Schizosaccharomyces pombe: one gene and its partner. The gene in region 1 interacts genetically with each later gene. Each region holds a gene or a part of one and is shown on either strand. Other genes may lie near its edges.

Evidence for each region.
Region 2: mutations in ppk15 (region 1) and rud3 together harm fitness less than expected from each alone (positive genetic interaction), as found in Schizosaccharomyces pombe (one large-scale study listed by BioGRID).

Annotation. Positions count from the first base shown.
Region 1 is NC_003424.3:2,583,489-2,588,190, reverse strand, and holds ppk15 (serine/threonine protein kinase Ppk15), read right to left. Parts: upstream 3,019-4,702; 5' UTR 2,437-3,018; coding exon 2,248-2,436; intron 2,201-2,247; coding exon 785-2,200; 3' UTR 717-784; downstream 1-716. Other genes in the region: tom6 (uncharacterized protein), read right to left, coding at 4,144-4,250, 4,289-4,328.
Region 2 is NC_003423.3:738,265-742,640, reverse strand, and holds rud3 (golgin protein Rud3), read right to left. Parts: upstream 2,379-4,376; 5' UTR 2,367-2,378; coding exon 1,161-2,366; 3' UTR 765-1,160; downstream 1-764. Other genes in the region: U4/U6 x U5 tri-snRNP complex subunit Prp31, read left to right, coding at 1-678; double-strand-specific ribonuclease Pac1, read left to right, coding at 3,846-4,376.

The DNA of each region.
Region 1 (4,702 bases):
GAGTCAAATCTGGGATCACGAGTAAATTTTTTTGGTTCAGATATTACTTCGCGAAAACGAGAAACTGGTTTTTTACTTGACAATTCTTGAGGGGCGTGTTTCTTTCTTTCGCCAAAAATTTTTTGTCAACTTTCTCAGTATGTTTCATATTTTTTCTGTCATTATCTTTGTTTTTTGCTGTTCTTTAAGCAGGTCCCTTTGAGCATTCAACAATGTATCAAACGGAATCTCAGCTAACTCTTCAAATTTGTGAGTAAATATTAATTAAGAAAATAAAAGAATTTTTAACATACGACTTTTAGCTGTTTTTGATTCGTTGTTTGAGTCTTCATCGTCTTCTGAATCTTCATTATTAAAGTTTTCAAATTCTTCTTCTGAGACCAATTCTTCGTCGCTATCTAGATCATCTTCGTAAACACCCGCATTAGCAAGAGTCCCATTTTCAAGTGAACTTGATTTCATTTTGGCGATTTGTGAATGTCTACTACATAAAAGTATAAAACCTCTCTACATAGAGTATTTACCGTAGCGCTAAATATAGCGTTAAATTTGTAAATGCTTTATACTATTTACTATTGAAAACTGCATATTGAAGCCTCGAAGGAACTTTGAAAATATTCGTAGTATGTATATATCATCAAAAGTTTGAATGCTTTATGAAAATTGAAAACGTTTTACGAAAGCTATTAGAAAATTGGTACAACATAAAAAAAAAATTTGGAATGGATCATGCCTATTAAATATTTTAAATAAATTTGAATGTTTCTATACGTAAAATATGACATTAGAAAAATTCATCTACATTTTCGTTCTCATTAGCGGGAGGATAATATTGAGGCAGCGGTCGAGTATGTACAAATTCTTCAGGTTCGTTGGAAACATAAGTGCTTGCACGCTGTAAGGAAGGAGGAACCACCGCTTGATTTCCAATAGTATGAGAACGGTTCCTCGTTCTTTGAGTTGTAAGCAGTGGTTTTTGTTTGTCAATGCAGTATTGACTGAAAGAGGCACCTGTGATAAAAGGATGATTTTTCGCCTGGTCAGGAGTCCATCTCTTCAAAGGATTTAACTCTAAAAACTGCTTTATGAAATCGATGAAACAAAGTCTCTCTTCATGTTCTTCAGGAGTAAGCTTAGGTGTGGTTTTTCGGCGAGGATAATTTAAAACAATAGCATCGAGTGTCTTTTCACCAAAATATTGTTTTCCAGGTTGCTCTGTTTTGTTGTTTTCGATAGAAAACTGTTCGATCGATTTAAGCTCATAAGTTTTTCTACCGTTTACAAAACCAGAATTGTAATATTTCTTCGAATTTTTACCCATTTCTAACATCCAAGTGGGAGGATTACCAAGCATGTCAACAATCCGACATAATTGATTATATTCGGAATTTCCAGGGAACAAGGGAAGACCTAAGAATAGTTCAGCTAAAATGCATCCCAAAGACCACATATCAATTCCACAGTTATAATGTAGTCCTAAAATTACTTCCGGACTGCGATAGAATCGCGATTGAATATAGGTATAAACTGTTTGGCGTTCGTGACAAGCACTACCAAAATCTATCACTTTCACAATCGGTGATGATAAATCCTGCAACAGGATATTTTCCGGCTTTAGATCACAATGTATGATTCGAGCTTGTTTGAGGAGAGATGTGCACGATAGAAGTTGCGTTGCGAAAGAACGAACAAGACTTAAATGTAAACCACGGAACTGATTTTGCTTGATAAGCTCATAAAGATTAATACTGAGTAACTCAAAAACGAGACACAAATGATTTTTATGCATAAATTGATCATATAAACGAATTAAATGGCGCTTGTCTTCTGGATCGTACTTATTGTTAAGGAGCTCTAGTATAGAAACCTCCATCACACATTGGTTATAAAATGCCGGCTTATTTTTGATAACTTTAATAGCTACAATTTGTTGGGTTTTAAGATCTTGGCATCTAGCAACTTGACCAAATGTGCCATGCCCCAGGGTGTCGAGAATCAAATATTTACGGCCTTCATCCGTTCCTAGCAAATCGTTAACATACAATACATAATCATGATTGACGTTATCAAAACCATGGTTGTGAACTCCTTCACTGGGTTTGGTGAGTGGTCTCCGAGGGTTTTGTTCGGAAGAAAACTGGAATTTTGGATTACAAATTGAATATGTATCAGCTAGTTTCACAGTCATTGCTTCTAAGGGCTATATGTTTAATTAGTAAAATGCAGAGCAAGTAAAAAATTTCGTACGCTAATATAGCTTCCATGGGGAGACACCCTTCTGTAATTGTATTTCTTGGTTGCCGGTTTGACAGGAGCAAACAAAGTTGTTCCAGAAGACGAGACATGACGAGCATGATTATTACGCTGCGAGTGATCATGAGTCCTCGCAGCAGGAGGATTGTTCGATAATGGAAGAATGGGCGAATCCGAATCCATATGAATAGAGACGCCTTTTTGTAAAGTATTGCAAAGAATATATCAGTATAGGCAGAATACGAGTGCCTTCATTCACACTCGAATCACTTTAAAGTAACGTAAAATAGTGATCTCTTGGAACGTGAGTCGATGCACAACAGTGCAAAAAGGAACCACAAGTTATACTATTTACAAAGTAGTAGTTGACAGATTAACCAAAGGAATCTAAAAAAGAAGTGCTTTAAAGGAAAAAAGTCAAAGAGTTTGAAATGAACGCACCAACCGGCTAATCAATTTAATGGAACAACTGACAAAGAGCTAGTTTCGCTTACGATAATCTCGATCTGGAACAAAGGGAAACACTTGTGGATATGAAGCTTAAAATATGAATTTGGAGGAATCTTCTAATTTTCTTGTTTATAGCGTGTAGCTACAAATACAAATATAATATTCGGCAGAAAATCGAAAATATTCACTAAAATAAGCCGATAAATATGCACAGTGCGAGTTGAACGAATAACTAATCAACTCCACCGTATAAATTACAAATTTATACGAAAAACAACACTGAGAGATTTCGCAATTTATTGAAAGATGAAGGATTTAACCAAAAAAAGCGGCTTGGTTAAAGGATAGAGAGGAATCTGAAGGAAAGGGATGACGACACACCGCTTTGTAGTGAGCCGCGTGTAACGGCGCTGACGATGACTGAAATAAAGTACAATTGCTTGCTATGCCTTAATCAGTTTTACTGATTTTCAATCTATTACGTAATAGAGTGTATCAATGAATTAAAAGGCCGTCATTAAAACTTTGGCTTGCAAAAAAATACAAGAAAAAGTTACTAGAAGAGGATCTTTTGATTCTTATATTATTAAATAGTTGGATCTTAGATCCCAATTAAATAATTAAATATTGTTTCAGGTTTCCGTGACATGACTTAAGAAGGCGATAATTTCGCTTACATTAAGGTTCCTGCTCTTACTCTCCACAACGAAATCAATTCGTATTTGAAAAGACGAATGAATTTGGTGCAAAACATCCGTCTATACCAATAACCGCGATAAATAAGAAACAACTTCCATTGAAAGGCTTATTCGAAACATCAAGCGCAATGTTTACCAATAGTACGCATCCTTAATTCAGAATAGTAGCAATTTTTCGAAAAAACGGATATTCTCCATACTTAGTATATTTGGATGTTGCACAACCATGTAACCGGTTGGATATTAAAAGGAGGAAAAACGTTTCTTGTTTGGCATCTATCTGTAAATGAAGGAGTCGTTGTTAAAACATTCTCCACGCCGACTACATTCGTACATAAAAATTTTCGCATAAACGACAAACGAAATGGTTCCTAGTCCAATGTTCACACAAAAATCTGTAGTGAATGGACGAATATTGGTTATTGACTTCAAACATCTAAGGAAACATAAATAGACGCAAGATATCAGAATCGAACTAGCTTATATGTAAAAATGTTCCTACCAACTAATGCTCCTACGTACTTCGCATGACACTAGATAACATAAATATTTCAAATTTTAGATCGCTAACAAAAATTACAAAGCACAATGATATTCATGAAAGATATATGTTGTTTAGCTTTGAACCTTTATTGAAACTGGGAGTTCATTTTATTTATGAAACAACCATACAACGTTATGAAGTAATATTTTTCTGAATCCAAAGCTGAAGACGTTTAGTCCGTGAAATTCAAACATCCATTTACAATTGTGGTACCAAAAAGTTTCCCAGTCTGGATTTCAAGATGGCTACAGAAACTGCAAATACGCCAAGACTCACGAAAATGGAAGAGTTTTCCTTATTGACGACTAAAAGATGTTAAATTAATAGTTTTACAGGGACATACCCTTTTTGAAAATATCTTTTTGAGCAGAAATGCGATCCATTTTTGACTAAGTGGTTGAAGGAACGTGGCTAAATACCGACTTGTAACGTAATTTAACATGACTGTGATCGCTGCCATAAACAGTGATCAGGTAAAATGTATGGCTTCAATAACCCTAATTGATAACCCTAAGAGCTAGCTGTATGGATTTTGTTTTGCAGTAGAGGAAACATTCTATACTGCAATAGTTTTTTAAGACAAAACGCTTTATATTTAGTTTACTTGGTCTTACGAAATAATCAAGAGTAGCGCTGCGGAAACAAATTTTTTCCTTTAAAATTTTCCATAATCATTATCTTTTTTAGTATTTTTTCATTTTTTTTTCGGGGGAGGGGTTAGAATAATTTAATTCATTTTCTTAACAAATGTACATCT
Region 2 (4,376 bases), on another chromosome or scaffold:
GATTATGGATTTTTGTATATGTCGGAAATTGTTCAAAAGACCCCTCCTGATGTACGAAAGCAAGCTATCCGAATGACTGCTGCTAAAGTTGCTTTAGCAGCAAGAATCGATTCCATTCATGAATATCCTGATGGCTCATTTGGCATATCTGCTCGAAAGGAAGTTGAACGGAAAATTGAAAAGCTTTTGGAACCTCCATCACAGAAACCAACTGTTGCGCTACCCGTTCCTGACGATAGGCCAAAACGTCGTCGTGGAGGAAGAAGAATTCGCAAGATGAAAGAGCAATATGCCGTAACGGAATTGCGGAGATTACAGAATCGCGTCGCCTTTGGTAAGGAGGAGGCGGAAGTCTTTAATTTTGACGAAACGGAAGGTCTTGGTATGCTTGGTCAAGAAGGTGAAGGAAAAATTCGTGCAGTGTCAATTGATTCTCGAACTAAATTACGGTTACCAAAAGCGCGGAAGGCCCAACTACAATCAATGGCACAGAAGAATCCCCTTGCTGCAAGCGGTTTACAAAGTTCATTATCCTTCACACCTATTCAAGGCATTGAACTAGTGAACCCCTTACTTCAACGACAACAAAAAGTAGAAGAGGCCAACAAATGGTTTCGTGATGGTGTTTTTACACAGATAAAGAAGGATTCTAATGAGCCGAAAAATAAATTTTCATAATAATGTCTTCATAATGATTAGTTACTTTGCATATAGCTATGTTGCTTTTGCATACTAGTAATACAGACCATAACTATGACCTGAGTGATTAAAATAAAATGATATTTTTAAAATTCTTCGAAAAAACTGATATTAACAAACAATTTTGAAAATTAAGAATATTGACTAATAGATGAAATTGCAACAAGCGCTTTTGCCATAAAGCTAGGCATAGCAGGAGAAGGCAAAATATCAAAATGAACGTATGAAACTATTACTTCAAGAATGATATAGTCAACCTTCAAAATGTGTGAAAAGAGAGTAAAAAAATACTAAAACCTTGTACGCGCGGCAAAAGGTAACCCCTAATTAAGTTGTGAAGTAAGAAAAAAAAAAGCGATACATAAAAAGAGCGAAAGATATTATTATTTACAGAAAAAAGAAAAATCTTTCATACCATTGCTCAATTGAAACGTAAAATTATCGGTTAGTGTGGAAGAAAATTATGAGTCATGGAAAGAACGTCTTTTGGAAAAGGAATGATCGGAGAATAGAGAGTTAGAGGACGCACTGTGAGGAATACTCCAATTATTTACAGAGGAACCAGGACGTTGAAGTCCCGTTTGTTCCCTTTGCGTATCGTTCCAATCTAACACGGAAGAAATTAATTGCAATATTTCGAAACGTTTAGTGTCAGCGCGAGGAAGCGTCAAAAAGGAGACAAACAAATTAGAAATAAGTTGTTTGTCAATTTTTTCTGCATTATTTCCATCTTTAAGCATGCAGAGAGCCTTTGTAAGATGTTCATTCAAAACAACGGCCTCGTGCTGCAGTTTACCAATAAGTAGGGTTTTTTCTTTCACCTCGTGCTCCAAATCAGAGACCCTTGAAAGCCTTTTCTGTGTAGCATCTAACTCATTTTGCAAATCTTCGTACTCTTTTGATTTAGAAGCGAATTTCTCAGTCACGTCGTCCATGGCCTTCTGCCAATTTCTGGTAAGTTCACCGAGGTTTTCAGTATGGGAAGCTTTGGTGGATTCTAATTCAATTTCTAGTTGATGCTGATTTGTCAAATGACGTTGAATTTCAACTTCATACTGCTCTTGTCTTTCAGTTTCTCTAGCTAGCTGCTCTTCACAATCTGCCAATCGAACGGCCAATGATTCTTGCATCTCATGTTCATCTCTGGCTCTTCTTTCCCATTGTTTTGATTGAGTCGATAACAATTGATTTTCTTCAACAAGCGAAGCATTTTGCTGTCTCAAATCTGTTATATCTTGCGTTAAGCTTTCTACTTGTGCGGTCAAGGTTACGGTTTCTTCATTGCTCAACTTAAGTGCTTCCTCTGCATCGCCCAAAGACTTTTCGAGCTCTTGAATTCGTTTTCGATTTTGAGCTAACTCTTGAGAATCCTTCTTAAGCCTTTCTCCCAACGTTGACTTAATTCCCGAGACCTTCCCGAGTAAATTAGAGTGTTGCTGCTTCAATGAGTTATAAGAATTCTTTAATGTTTGATAAGCTTCCTCCTTCTCCGCCAATTTCTTGAAAGATTCTGAACATTCTAAATGTTCATCGTTTTCTTTCAAAACTCCGCCTTTTTCATTCAATTTGAGCTCATTTTTTTCATCTTCTAAGTTCAAACGACTTAAATCCTCTTGTAAATTCTCATTTTCCACCAATTTTGTTTCATTTCCTGCATTTTCTGCCATTCCAGAAATTATGGGAAATTGAATTAGTGAGCTCTAGAGTGGCCCTAAAACATCCATCTTTTCGTAAACATTTCCATAAACCTCGATAATATTCCTTTAACTTGGTTTACGAAATACTAAACCTTTTGCTTTAAAATTTGTTACTACAATAAACAGTAGCAACGTATTCAACTTTAACTGTAAGCTACGCAGTTTGGTATCTGATTTAAGGATACGTAGAACTGCGGTGAGTTTTCCTTATGGTCTATTTATATTACAATACACAGGTTGTATAAGTAGCAACTGAGTATAGGTATTGTATTAACTGGGTTATAATGTTACCTATCACTAATATAGCTCATAACTGAACTGAGGAACGAGGTTCAGTTGTAACGCTATTTATAATATTTCTAAATAGTTGTTATTAACGGGTATCTATGTATATAGACGGATAGTTACCCGTGATTATCAATAAACGGATCTTAGCTAGTATTCCAACATATGACATATAGTGATACGCAACGTAGTGTATCATAGCGTAGTGTAGTATTGCTGACATTAACATACTTTGTTGACCGTTGTGCTGCGGTACGCCCCTATTCTTTCTCTGCTCATGTTAACCAACGAACGTGGTGAAATAAACCGCTAAGTTGGAAAAAGAGTGTTTCTTTCTTCCTTCTCCTTTCTCGTCCCTCACTGCCCAACATAAACAAACTCCCACACATATGAGGTTGAACGAGTCTGCATATTCTTTTTAAAGAAAAGAGTTGTTTTCTTATTCATATTGACGGTTTGGTAGTTCCTACGAACTTGCATTTCAGATTGTTTATTTTTCATTCGGGTTTTTGCAAAGTAAGTAGCGTTGTCTTGCATCTACGGTGATAGAGCTTTCTTTCAAATAAGGAGGATTGCTGGTCCTTGGTTTGGTCAACATACGGTTTTTAATCACATTTCGATTTTACGCTGCATTTTCGATTTGCTTCAGATATCATTAATTGGTAGATTTGAAGATTATAACATTGAAAAAGACTTTTTTCACTGTAAAAAATATTTATTTTTTTATATTCAGCTATTCGAAGAACATTTTTTTTGCATTTTTTTCTTAGCTGGGTAGGTGTTCTTCACATTGGAGAGCTGTTTTTGGTTGATTGTTTTGTTACAAGATTTTTTGCATTTGTATATTACACGGAGCTTTTCGTGCTGATCATTTTTTACTTCTTGATTGTTCTTTACTGTTTGTGGTATATTTCTAAAGAAAACACAAAGTAAAGTAATTTTGGGTAAATAACTTTTTCGTTGTGGCCCTTAGAACAGTATCCTGGTACTGCACATTTCTTCTACTGACGATATTTTTACCGGAACTCTGTTCCGTACTTAATTCTCGGCCATTTTTGACACCGATTTTTTAAGTAGATCCCAATACAGCATTCTTGGATACTTCTGTCTCTTTTAGCACCGTTTTCCTTCTCACAATCTACTTTATATTTCTACCATTTTCCTATGGGACGGTTTAAGAGGCATCATGAAGGGGACTCAGATTCCTCCTCATCCGCTTCCGACTCTTTATCAAGAGGAAGAAGGTCTCTTGGTCACAAGCGAAGTAGCCACATAAAAAATCGGCAGTATTATATTTTGGAAAAAAAAATTCGTAAACTCATGTTTGCTATGAAAGCCTTGCTAGAAGAAACAAAGCATTCAACAAAGGATGATGTGAATTTGGTTATCCCTGGTTCTACTTGGAGCCATATTGAAGGAGTCTACGAAATGTTGAAGTCAAGGCATGATCGCCAAAACGAACCTGTCATTGAAGAACCCTCCTCTCACCCAAAAAATCAAAAAAATCAAGAAAATAATGAACCAACATCTGAGGAGTTTGAAGAAGGAGAGTATCCCCCGCCATTACCACCTTTACGGTCTGAGAAACTAAAGGAACAAGTTTTTATGCATATTTCTAGAGCTTATGAAATTTATCCAAATCAGTCGAATCCGAATGAATTGTTGGATATCCATAATGAAAGGCTAGAATTTCTT